Linked DNA regions of Arabidopsis thaliana. The protein of the gene in region 2 interacts with the protein of the main gene of each other region in a pairwise test. Each region holds a gene or a part of one and is shown on either strand. Other genes may lie near its edges.

What was found.
Region 1: the proteins of AT2G16710 (region 2) and SEC5A interact in a two-hybrid assay, tested with the Arabidopsis thaliana proteins (one large-scale study listed by BioGRID).

The regions. Positions count from the first base shown.
Region 1 is NC_003070.9:28,846,177-28,853,992, forward strand, and holds the start of SEC5A (exocyst complex component sec5), read left to right. Parts: upstream 1-1,694; 5' UTR 1,695-1,836; coding exon 1,837-2,262; exon of another isoform or gene 2,263-2,546; coding exon 2,547-2,701; intron 2,702-2,809; coding exon 2,810-2,895; intron 2,896-3,021; coding exon 3,022-3,216; intron 3,217-3,297; coding exon 3,298-3,425; intron 3,426-3,504; coding exon 3,505-3,663; intron 3,664-3,803; coding exon 3,804-3,908; intron 3,909-4,163; coding exon 4,164-4,238; intron 4,239-4,443; coding exon 4,444-4,581; intron 4,582-4,673; coding exon 4,674-4,859; intron 4,860-4,987; coding exon 4,988-5,116; intron 5,117-5,247; coding exon 5,248-5,374; intron 5,375-5,457; coding exon 5,458-5,668; intron 5,669-6,069; coding exon 6,070-6,185; intron 6,186-6,302; coding exon 6,303-6,531; intron 6,532-6,758; coding exon 6,759-6,852; intron 6,853-6,945; coding exon 6,946-7,023; intron 7,024-7,110; coding exon 7,111-7,167; intron 7,168-7,295; coding exon 7,296-7,445; intron 7,446-7,588; and 2 more. Other genes in the region: AT1G76840 (uncharacterized protein), read right to left, coding at 390-586, 665-730, 845-1,112. UniProt on the Arabidopsis thaliana protein: Component of the exocyst complex involved in the docking of exocytic vesicles with fusion sites on the plasma membrane during regulated or polarized secretion. Involved in polarized cell growth and organ morphogenesis.
Region 2 is NC_003071.7:7,246,082-7,250,844, reverse strand, and holds AT2G16710 (Iron-sulfur cluster biosynthesis family protein), read right to left. Parts: upstream 2,703-4,763; 5' UTR 2,552-2,702; coding exon 2,341-2,551; intron 1,133-2,340; coding exon 1,015-1,132; intron 935-1,014; coding exon 832-934; 3' UTR 556-831; downstream 1-555. UniProt on the Arabidopsis thaliana protein: Involved in the assembly of mitochondrial iron-sulfur proteins. Probably involved in the binding of an intermediate of Fe/S cluster assembly.

The DNA.
Region 1 (7,816 bases), on a different chromosome or scaffold from region 2:
CCCAAAAAGTTGTAAAATCTATTAAGATAACAGAGGAGGAACTAAGTCAAATCTTTTGGCACAAAAGAGTACTATTTACACACTTGTATAGACATATTACTCTTCTGTTTTACAACTAGCAGTAATTCGACCAAAAGACTGAACAAATGTTTCAATTCCAATAAAGGACTCATCTACGACTAATACCATGCAACATACATATTTCCTTAATCACATCCATCATAATAGTGTCTTGCTCATGTTTCTCTTCATGTTATCCTTCCAAAGGTTCAGAATCCACCTCTTGATGAGTGTTACTTACCGGTGAAATATGACCTGAAACTTTTAGTGTAAAAAACCATAACATGTTTTGTAGCTTTGGTTTCAGATGTATGAGTAAGTCCTCCTCCTCAGCCATTCCTTGTGGCTTTTCTTTTACGAATTCTTGATTCACTGTCTTCATTTATTCGGAAGAGCCTCTTGACTTTAGTGCCGACTGCTTCTTCTAGCTCCAACTGAGTGTACTCATCCATAAGTTTTTCTGGTGTTAGATTCAGACAATGACCAACACTCGCACAACCGACTTTAGTTATCTCCATTCTTTCTTCTGCACTGTTGTTCTAAGTGTTGTGTTCAAAAAAGTTTCCATGTAAAGTTGCTGCTTGTACTTCCTTCTCTAAGGAACCTTTCACATCATCATCTTTGTTTGAGTGAATCTCCTTCCAACATTCAACTGAGTTTTCCAAGATTGCTGTGATTAAAATCAGAAAGAAACACGGATTAGAACAAAATTAGTTTAGCCATAAAACTGAAAAAGTAACTCAAATCAAATGAATACAAGTATATACCTTCTATAGAGCTACACTCTCAGATCTAGGAGTGCAAATAAGAGTTTCTCTCTTAGTTTTGGTAGTTTTCTCAGCAATAGATATTGAAACGATATTCTTAACAAGGTAACGGCCAGTAGACACGACTAGCTCAGCTTCAGTGCTGCTCACTGGTACTTGCACTGAAGCAGGTGATAAGCGCTTGACAAAAAGTACAGAGTGTGATGATACTTCCTCTTTGTCCTCCTTAACTGCAGATATTAAAACTGTGTCTCGCTCAATTTTCTCTTCACGTTGTCCTTCCATAAGTTCAGAATTCAACTCTTTAGTGCTTATTATTTGAGAAACTATCAACTGGTTTTTCCAGTGTAGAATCCAGAACATTCTCATAATCATAACAGATCCTGCACCTTTGGTTTCTGAGGAAATAAGGTGAATCATCAATCATTCCTTATGGCTTATCCTTAATGCACTCTTGATTCATTTTCTTCAACTACTATTGGAGCCTCAAATGAATTATGTCTCGAAGAGTTCCTTGTCAATCTAACATTTAGCTTCTTGAATCTTGACATTTTCAACAGAGGCTCCATTTCGTTCACAGTCAATACTGGAACAACTTTTCTGTGAATTACTCATTGCTTCCAGTATTCAAAATGTATATCTCAGAGAAGGACAAATCACGTCGCAACGTAATAATTTTTTGCAAATAATCTAAATTAATCTAAGAGTCATTTTTGAGGATAAAATCGAGTTACTGACATCTTGTGTGTCTGTCCTTCATACCAAATTATCCGGTCAAAAAGCCACCACACCGGAAAATATTATTTTCTTATCATCGCCATGTTTTGATTTTTCCACGTTTACACCTTTTAATCTAAAAATCAATATTTCTGGAAGAAAAAAAAAAACAAATTAAAATTGTCACACAAATCACAAACTGAAATCTCAAAATCGAAACTAAAGCTTCTCAGATCTCTAACTATAGCTCAAGGCGGAGGAGACTGAGATCGATCATCTGAATCGCCGAAACATGTCGAGCGATAGCAATGATCTTGACGAAGATGAGCTTCTTCAAATGGCGTTGAAAGAGCAGGCTAAGAGAGATCTCACCTATCAGAAACCTCCTTCATCTTCTGCTCGTAAGCCTGTTGCCAATTTAGTGCAGCAGCCTCGACAGCAGAAGCCTGTGGCTGCGGCTGCCGCTCCGCCGAAGAAGTCTGCTGCGGCGGTTAGGAAGCCTTCCATGGATGAGGATGAGGAGTCGGAGGTGGAATTGCTTAGCATTTCGAGCGGGGATGATGATTTGGAGAGGGAAAGGGAAATAGGTGGTTCTAGTGGTGGTGCGGGGAGAGGAAGAGGTAGCGATGTACGAGAGAAGGGAAGAGCGAGGAAGGAAGATGATGGTGCTTGGGATGGAGGAGAGCCTGATTGTTGGAAACGGGTTAATGAAGCTGAGGTATGTATTTGTGGCGAGATTCATCAGTGAATGCTTATGGCTTTGCTTGTTCGATCAAGTTCAAGAGTTTGAATTCGATATATTGATCTATTTGTTGAATTGTACGACACTGAACAATACCATTCGTGGGATACGGTGAATGCTATCCATAGTTTCTGGTGTTGAGTTGATATAGAGAGCTTGATAATTAGCATGCCATTAGTGATTTTAGAACCATAGCATCATATGGATGTATAAGTGGAAAGATGACCATTTTCACTGAAATTCCGGTGGCATTTTGGCAGCTTGCTCGTAGGGTTCGTGATATGAGGGAATCGAGAACAGCACCCGTGGTTCAGAAAGTAGAAGGTAAAGCACCTGCACCTGGGAAGAAAGTGGCTCTGACTAGTTTGCAGTCACTTCCTCGTGGAATGGAATGTATTGATCCACTAAAATTAGGGTAATTGCTCTCGTTTCGTTTTGCTTACCATGGAAGCCAGTCAGATGCTTTGTACTCTGTCTTTGATATGGTAGAACATATCTAAACCTGAATTTGTCTACTTCATAGGATCATAGACAATAAGACATTGAGATTAATCACTGAGTCGTCAGGCAGCCCATCAAAAGCTGAGAAAGTGGATAATACTCTTCGCGGTATGTCTTTCTTTACCATATCTACAACTCGAGTGAACAGTAGCACTTACAATTTTTTGGAGGGCTAATTCGATGTACAATTTCCAGTTGTCTAATTGTTATGTATCTTTTTCTGAGTATTTGCAGAAAAATTGGTTTACTTCTCTGATCATTTCGATCCGAAGCTGTTTCTTTCCCGTATTCACCAAGACACGACTGCAGCAGATTTGGAGGCTGGTGCCCTTGGCTTGAAAAGTGACTTAAAGGGTCGGAATCTGCAAAGGAAACAATTGGTGAAGGACAATTTTGACTGCTTCGTCTCATGTAAAACAACAATTGATGGTATGTATTATTACTTCCAACTGAATAATTTATGTTTTTTTCTTCTTTCATTTTCATGTTGACCACTGATTTTCTTAATAGATATTGAGTCAAAACTGAAGCGGATTGAAGAAGACCCCGAAGGTTCAGGAACTACTCATTTGTTTAATTGTATGAAAAGTGTGACATCGAGGGCCAATCTTGCATTTGAGCCACTTTTTGAGAGACAGGTTGGTGTGATTCTGATTTACTTCTTTTGCTTGTCACTCTCTTTCATTTTGCTGAAGCCTTTTTCAAAATCACATTTAGGCTCAAGCTGAGAAAATCAGGTCTGTCCAAGGAATGCTTCAGAGATTCCGGACACTGTTCAATTTACCCAGTATCATTCGTAGCAGTATTAGCAAGGGTGAATATGATTTGGCTGTTCGAGAATACAAGAAGGCGAAATCTATTGCTCTACCTTCTCATGTATGCCTGAATTTTCAATCACACTCTCTTGAGACAGATCCTATCCACATTCCTATAAGCACTGAGCCTTCTTTTTATTACGATTTAATTTAATTACATAACAAGGCTCTTGACAATATAGAAAAACAAGCTGCTTTCAGGTTAATATACTCAAGCGTGTACTCGAGGAGGTTGAGAAAGTTATGCTGGAATTTAAAGGCACACTATACAAGTCTATGGAAGATCCGAAAATAGACTTTACAAGTGTATGTCAGTTATAATTCATTTTATTTTAATGTCAACTAGTAATTAAACTGAACAATCCTTCATTCAAATATTCACCAAATGCATTAACCATACTACTGATATCATGTCAATATTGCAGCCATCATGAATGTTAACTTTTATTTAGGATATCCCGTTTTACATTTTCCCAGTTGTTGTACCTACTAAATAAAATGACTAAATTTTTTTCCAGTCTATTTTTTTGTCTTGATATCTGAGGTCTGTTCTTATTTTAGCTGGAAAACACTGTGAGGCTTTTGCTGGAGCTGGAACCCGAATCTGATCCTGTGTGGCATTATCTAAATGTTCAGGTCGGTATATTCGAAGATGTCACTCTTTTACTACTTCTTACTATGTTCTGTGTGGAATCTGGATTCCTAATAGATTTGCTTTGAGTATCAGAGTGACTTTTAGCTTATAAAATCTTTCATTTGTTTCAACTTAGCACATTTATATGTCTCCTACACTTTTTGTTGCAATCCTCGTGTATTTTCATAATTGGCTCTTTAATTACAGAATCATAGAATCCACGGCTTGCTTGAGAAATGTACATATGATCATGAAGCAAGGGTGGAAATTTTGCGTAACGACACTCATGAGAAAGCCATCTCAGATGCAAAGTGGCAACAAATTCAACAAAATGGCGTTTCATATGTGAGTCTAGCATTGAGAATGATATATCATTAAAAGACTATTCAATATTCAGTTCTTTAGATGATAACGTGCCTTGTTTTTTCATCCTCTAGTCAGATACCGCCTCTTCTAATGAAAATAATGCAGTTCAAGTTGACCTACAATCAGTGGAATTCCCCAGCGAAGAGATTGATATTTTGAAGGGAAGATACATCAAAAGATTGACTGCTGTGCTTGTGCATCATATCCCTGTGTTTTGGAAAACAGCTATATCTATTTTCAGTGGAAAATTTGCCAAGGTATCCGCTATTCTTTCTGCTTAGATCCCTATACTGACCCAAGAGTAGATTAATTCTGTAGTTATTATTTCTTTCTTGAATTGGAAATAGTTCTTCATTTGATTTGAATTTAACTTTGATTTGCTTAGTCCTCCCAAGTTACTGATACTTCAGCCAATAAAGCTGAGGAGAAGGTCACAGAGGCAAGATATTCAACTCATTCTTTGGAAGAAGTTGCTGGGATGATACGCAAGACTATTTCTGTCTATGAAGCAAAGGTATTATCTTTGTTTTCTAATTAAGTGACCTCTTCATTGGAACTTTTCTTCACATTAGAAGGACAATCCTGTGGTATCTGTGCTATAAAGTGGCTCTAAATATTTTCTTCTCCTGATTACTGCTGTTGTAGGTGAACAGCACATTTTGTGATTTTGATGAATCATGCATTCTCCGCCCATTTATGAGTGATGCCATTAACGAAGTATCAAAAGCATGCCAAGCTTTTGAAGCCAAAGAGTCAACGCCCCACAGTGCTGGTATTTGAACTTCTTCTGAAGCTTGAGCTTGCTGTTTAATTTAAGTAGACTAAGATGCTGTATAACCTTTTTGGTTATGGCAGTCGTTGCACTGAGAAAAATCCAGGCGGAAATCACTAAGATTTATATCCAAAGGCTTTGCTCTTGGATGAGGGCCTCCACGGAAGGAATATCAAAAGAGGAGACGTGGATCCCGGTTTCTATTCTTGAAAGGAATAGATCTCCATATGCCATCTCTTACTTGCCTCTTGCATTCCGTTCAGTTATTGTCTCTGGCATGGAACAAGTCAATCTGTAAGTTTCAACCGTATTTTGGTAACATATAGAAAATATTTACATTGTGAGGTTTACTACACTGTGGAAGTGAAAAACCCCAGTTTTTTCTATTTGTTGTATTTGGAGTTCCAGACGTCTATGTTTCCAGTACATACATCAAGGTCTAGTCTTTTCTGTATACATTAGAAAAAACAAAATGCCAATAGTCAGTAATTGTGATTCTAGCTTGTCATACCGTGATTACCAATTCTATGCTGAGACATGTAAAATCAAATGACTGTACCATGTTTGTATGATAGGAAAGGGGTCTTATATGCTTCTCATTGCTATTCAGGAAACTGCATATACAAATGTGTACTTTTTTCATACCACAGTGTTTACTTTGTTAACCTGTTGATTTCCGTGTATACCTTTTTCAGGATGATTCTGTCTGTCAAAAGTGAAGCTGCCAAATCAGAAGATATGTTTGCCCAAATTGAAGAAATCATAATATCCGTTAGACTGGCATTTTTGAACTGCTTTCTGGATTTTGCTGGTACGAATTTTAACCAAGCATCCTTGATAATATCCTCATGCAAACACCGGAATGCAGGCAAATGCACACTTTAAAGTGGTTACGTTGATATGCTAATTTGCTTTCACCATATGCCAGCGCACTTGGAGCAAATTGGTGCTGATCTTTCCCAAAGCACCTCCAGACAAGATAATTGGAAAAACGGATATTCTGATGAGCATCAGGAAGAACCATCAGCCAACACCTACGGAAGTGTAATTGATCCTCACAGGCGGTTGTTGATGGTCTTAAGTAATATAGGTTACTGCAAAGATGAACTTGCTTCAGAGCTTTACAACAAGTTCAAATATACATGGTTACAGTCTAGGTTAGTCCCTGCTTAATAAACGTCATTAGTGCTCTTCTGAACATCGTCTTTACTAAGTGGTAAACAAGTTGGGCATACTCGTGCATACTTAAATGAGTCAAACTGGATAATAGGTATTAACGGTTAAATTTGATGTGATTCATAATCAAATACTGTTCTCATGGGTGGATTTTGTATATGGTGTTATAGCTCACTAAACTAAGATTTTTGTGTTTTCACTTATTCAGAGACAAAAATGAAGACAGTAGTGATCTTCAAGATCTAATAATGTCTTTCTCTGGACTCGGAGAGAAGGTCCTCGAGCATTACACTTTTGCTAAGGTATTAATTTTTTTCCAGCCATATTAGCCTATGTATGCTTTTGCTAAGTGTTATAAATAGAACTTTAAATTTCCGAGAATTTCACCTGTTCAGGCAAATTTGATCAGAACAGCGGCCACAAATTATTTGCTGGACTCTGGTATTCAATGGGGATCAGCACCTCAAGTGAAAGTAAGAAATCTATGCGAAACGATATCTATTAGCTTCTTGATTTGAATGAAGAAAAGAATTACTTAAATATTTACTCCAATCTTCCAGGGCATACGAGATGCTGCTGTTGAGCTGTTGCACACTCTTGTAGCTGTCCATGCAGAGGTATACTCATGAAAAAAAATTATTGGTCGTTTTGTGGTTCTTTAGACATTTTGACATTAAAATGTGTTCCTCGACAGTGTTCATAGTGTAAAATCCTAATAACTTTGCACCGGAAAATAAAACTGCAGGTCTTTGCTGGTGCTAAACCCCTCCTGGACAAGATTCTTGGCGTGCTGATCGAAGGTCTAATCGACACTTTTCTGAGTGTTGTGGAAGAAAACAGATCAAGTGACCTAAGATCAATTGATGCAAATGGTTTCTGCCAACTGATGTTTGAGGTAACTTGTTCTTTTCATCATTAGAGATGCTCACTAACAAAAACTTCATCTCATAATGAGAAACAAAGTTGTTTTTACAGAAGCAGAGAAGCTTTGCAGATTTGTGATTTGCTAATTCTGAATTTTCATCACAACTGCTGCAGCTTGAATATTTTGAAACAGTACTGTATTCATATTTTACAAGCGCTGCAACCGAGTCTCTTAAATCTCTACAAGGAACCGTGTTGGAGATAGCTATAGAGAGCATCAGTGAAGCAGTCGAGACCCCAGGGCATAATCGTAGACCAACTCGTGGCAGCGAAGACACAGTTTCAGATGACAAGCAATCTGTTTCAGCAGATGACCTCCTCGTAACACATACATTTCCTTTC
Region 2 (4,763 bases):
AAGAGAAAAAGTAATAAAGTACGAAGTTAAATCCAAAAGCCAAATTAAAACAGAAACAGAAACAAAATAACAGTGAAACAACGAGATATACAAAATGAAATTTAAACTTTACTCTTCTCAAACACTTGATTGTGAAGCCATGAAGGCTCTCGCTCCAAGTGCTATGTAAAACTGAAACCTTCTGTCTTCAATCACACTCCGAGAAATGGATCGAGCGATCAGATTTGCGTTTGTGGCAATATGACGGAATGTACAAGATTCAAATGCATCAGCAATCTCATGGATTTGTGTTAACCAATTCCTATAGAGAGGCCATTTGAAGAAATATTTTGTAAATAAAAGAAATGTGCCCCAAAAACAGAGAAAATGAATAGTGTTGCTCTACTCATGTGGAGCAAGCGTAGAGTATCATTGGAGATGATTTTACCCAAAATATAGGATTTAAAGCACCATTGGAAATCCTCTAACAAGTTTGCCAACAATAGACTTAGACACATACAAGAGAAACAAATTCTATCCCTTAAGGTCTAAAGTAGTAACCATAAAAAATAGTTTATGTAATCCAACATTTTATAACTTTGGGGATAAGGAATACATTAATTAATCTCAAGATTATCCGTTCCACTAAATACATAGCTTCAGAAATATCTCTAAGCAACAACATGAGCTTCTAATGTGTATATGCAATAAAGTGACCAATCTAATGCCTGAAAGTAGCGCACAAACATAAAACTCAATTCTTATTAAAAAGTATTTGTTTCTCATTAACGCCAATTCCAGTAACAGTATAATATATGAGTGTAATCACAAATGTAAACGCATCACTGTGTGTTAACTAGCACTCTGCTTAGCACTAGAGGTAGATGTTGTCATAAACGATTCACCACACCCGCATTGTCCTTGTGAGTTAGGATTGATAAACACAAACTCTGATCTGCAATGAAAAGAAAAGGTTAATATGGTTTTAGAAATCGACAAGTGACTTTGCGTTTGAAATGTGACAGAGGTCCAAACCTGAGTTTATCATCTACAAAATCCATCTTTGTTCCAATCACATGCATTAAGGCCTTTGGTTCAACAAGGATCCTCACACCTTTCTCTTCTACCAACTCGTCAAATTTACCTTTCTCATCTGAAACAAATATACGCAGAGAAATGTATGTTAAACAATGGCTCAAGACACACAATTAACAATATGTAACATAGCATAACGACAATTTTTAGAGATTGTAATGAGAAACTACGCATTAGCTAATGGGCAGATAGAGAAACATTAATACTAGTGTACACTTTTTCACATTCAGTTATACAGATATAAACAAAATTGAATGTAAACCTGACTACCAAAAAGTTTGAAAACACGAACGTATCTACCAAACCTAACTATCGAGTTTGAGAACAAAAAAATGTTACAGATCTACCAAATCTAACAATCAAGTTTGAGAACAAAAAATGATATGTGTCTACCAAACCTGAGCCAAATATCTACACACTTAGAGGCCAACAAACATTCATCAATTTGTTTACTCTAAAGTAGATAGCACTTGGAACATGGCAATGCATATGACTTTTTCGTCTATGAGACGAAGAGCTCGCAATTTAAGGGAAACTATGCATTTAAACCGTGAATTTGTCTCATAAGACAAGAAACATCCACATAATCATTGACTCTATAACTAGATAGTAGTACTTAATACATGGCAATCATTGATGAGCCAAGAAAATCAAATTCATCATGATTGAACACACATCATAAGCATTCCCAAATCTCAAATTTACCTCTTGTATCAATATCTCATTATGCTATGGCTCTCAAATAGAGGAAAACTAACAAAACACAGCACAAGATTAAAACTCACAAAAAATCAATGCCCTAAATTCACAATTGAAACTTGGTAACATCCATTGAAAGTTTCACTGTAAACTAGATAGCACTTGGGACATAGCAACGCATACGGTTTTCTCATCGACGAAACTGTGGCGAAGATCTAGATACTCAAGAGAACGTATGCATTCAGCTATATTGTCCCTGTATATGACTCATAAACTTCTGTAACTAGATACATAACAATCATCAATGACCCAAAAACCAAATTCATCACTATTAAACACACATCATAAACATTCCCCAATCTCAATTTTACCAAAGTCTAACTCAAAATCTCAATTTGAACACACTATATATCTCCTCCTCCTATAGCTATCAAATAGAGGCATAGGAACAAAACGCAGCACAAGATCAAAATTCAAAACTCAACCCAAAAACCTAAAATAAAAATTGAAACTTGATTCCACCCAAAAAAACCAGAGAAACAACAATAAAGGCGGTGAAATTGAAACCGTTCCCAGAAGTTTTACCGGCGTAATTGAGAGTGTACGACAAGCCGTTGCAGCCACGAGCCTTAACGCCTAATCGGAGAAAAGGTTTTTGACGCTGTTGCAAGAGATGATGAACCCTAGAAGCAGCTTCGTCCGTTAAGGTTAATACTTGCTTCCTTAACGCCGGTCCAACCCTCGCCGCTGCAGCCGCCAAAATTTGAGAAGCTTTCATCGATCGAATCCGAATCCTTGGAGAATTACAGATTTAGGGGCATAATTTATCAGACTTAATCAGAAGCTAGAAGACGACGACGTCTCCTTTTTTTTTTCTAAACCGAAGTTGGAAAATGAACAAGTCTGTTTTCTTTTGCTTAAAGAAATACAAATATCTTCAAATTATATTTAGATATATAAATATACTAAAACTAAATTGGACTCGTCTCGTTTATATACCAAAATATTATTTTTTTAGTACTATCAGTGTTGAATATTTAAACTATTTTCGAATTTGCCGTATAAGTTACGGAGCAAACAAAAAACAGACAAATAAATTTTAAAAATAATCGGTGAATTACAAAAGGTAACCAATTTTCATAAACTATTCAAGTATATAGCACCATAAAATCTAAAACTAAGAGCATGAGCAATGGTGGTCTCTTTTAAGATTCCCTTATAATAAAAAGAAAAAGAAATAATTGAAAATCTTTGTAAATCCTTTTAAAACTCTTAAAAACTCTTGTAAATCTTGTAAACCTATTGTAAAAGGTTTTAAAATGATTTACAAAGGTTTAAAAAGAGGTTTTAAAGTATTTACATATGTTTTTAAAGACTCTAGAAAGATTTTAATAGGTTTTAAAATGATTTACAAGGGTTTATAACAACTACCAAAACTTTTAAAAAAATTTACAATGTTTTTTAAAAGAGTTTTTAAAAAATTTACAAGGATTTTTAAAAGCATTTTTTTGCTGAAAATTTTTTTGGATCTGTTACTTGGTTTGTGGTGGAAGACATGTGGTGCGGAACTCTGTTCTTGTAACTCAGATTATCCCATTGTGAGTCGCGTGGGGTGTGACTGATCATGGCTAATGAATGAATCTATTATGCCAAGTAACTGTAGTTTTAAGGGTTTCCCTTTTCTATTCTTAGTGATATATATTTGCCGTTTGTACTTCTTTACATTCCCTATTAATCAAAGGAGAAACATATCAAAAAACTCTTTCTATCTCACTAAGAAAGTAAAAACGAATGTGTTACAAGATCACAGAAAAAATCACACACACTTGACACACAACCACAAGAAGAACTCTCTCTCTTGTATTGCTGCATTGTACAAGACTTGGACTTCAATTTACACATCACCCTCTTTTGGGCTTACTCATTCGGCCCTGTACAAGCCATAGTTGAGACCTAATGCTCATTCTAGATCTTGCATGACATTCGAAAATATTCATAAAGGATTATCTCATTTGAAATGCATGGCTGGTGTTGGTGCAGGAATTGGCACCTCCGACAATACCGGTTTAAATCGGAGGAAAATGTGTATAAAATCGAGAACTCGATTTAACCGGGGTACCCCGGTTAGCCTGTTAATCGGCCTAAGTTATGAGATCGCCAGAAGACCTAATTTGACAATTGAGGTCGCCCAGCCGACTTCCTAAACCTTGTAAAGGGAAGACTTCCATTTCAGAGAAGAGGATCTCGTGCAGAATAGAAGTAATGAAGATTTAATTCTTAGATAATTAGAAGTTTATCATATTTTGATATATTGAATTCATTGTATAAATAGAAGGGTTTTGCCATCTATTAGATCCATCTTTAACCTAATTCAAGAGACCACTATTAAAGAGCAAACCCTAACTTTTTATTCAAACATCCTAATTATTTTCCTTTGATTACTTGTGAGATAAGAAAGAAGTGAATTTGTCTAAACCCCTTAGTACAAATTCATTATTTGATTTACAGAATCAAACAGCTGGCTTTGGTCGGAGTATGCATAGAAAAGAGAAAGTCATAAAAAATAAAAAGATCAATACGTTCGTTTTTATTCTTCTATTCAGATAAAAATATGGTCGCTCTCTTTCTTTCTCTGAGTGAAAGTGGAGATGATGATAAGATTTGTTGATTTGGTATGTCGGTGTCTATTAGAGAAGCAAATATGTAATTGACAATGTGACGTGTGGGGAATTCATAGGAAAATATGGACTATGTAGATCCAAATCAACATTATTTTTCATTAAATATTGTATTTTAAAATATATTTTGGATAATAGTTTTAGATAATCAGATTATCTATATCAAAACTGAATATGGTATGTAACGATCTTACTTGTAATGCTGATGCACAAACCTATTGGCTATTGTAGACATAAAGATCATATCGATAATACATAAATGGTCCCTTCGACAATAATATATGCTCAATAAAAATTTGATTGAAATCTTCT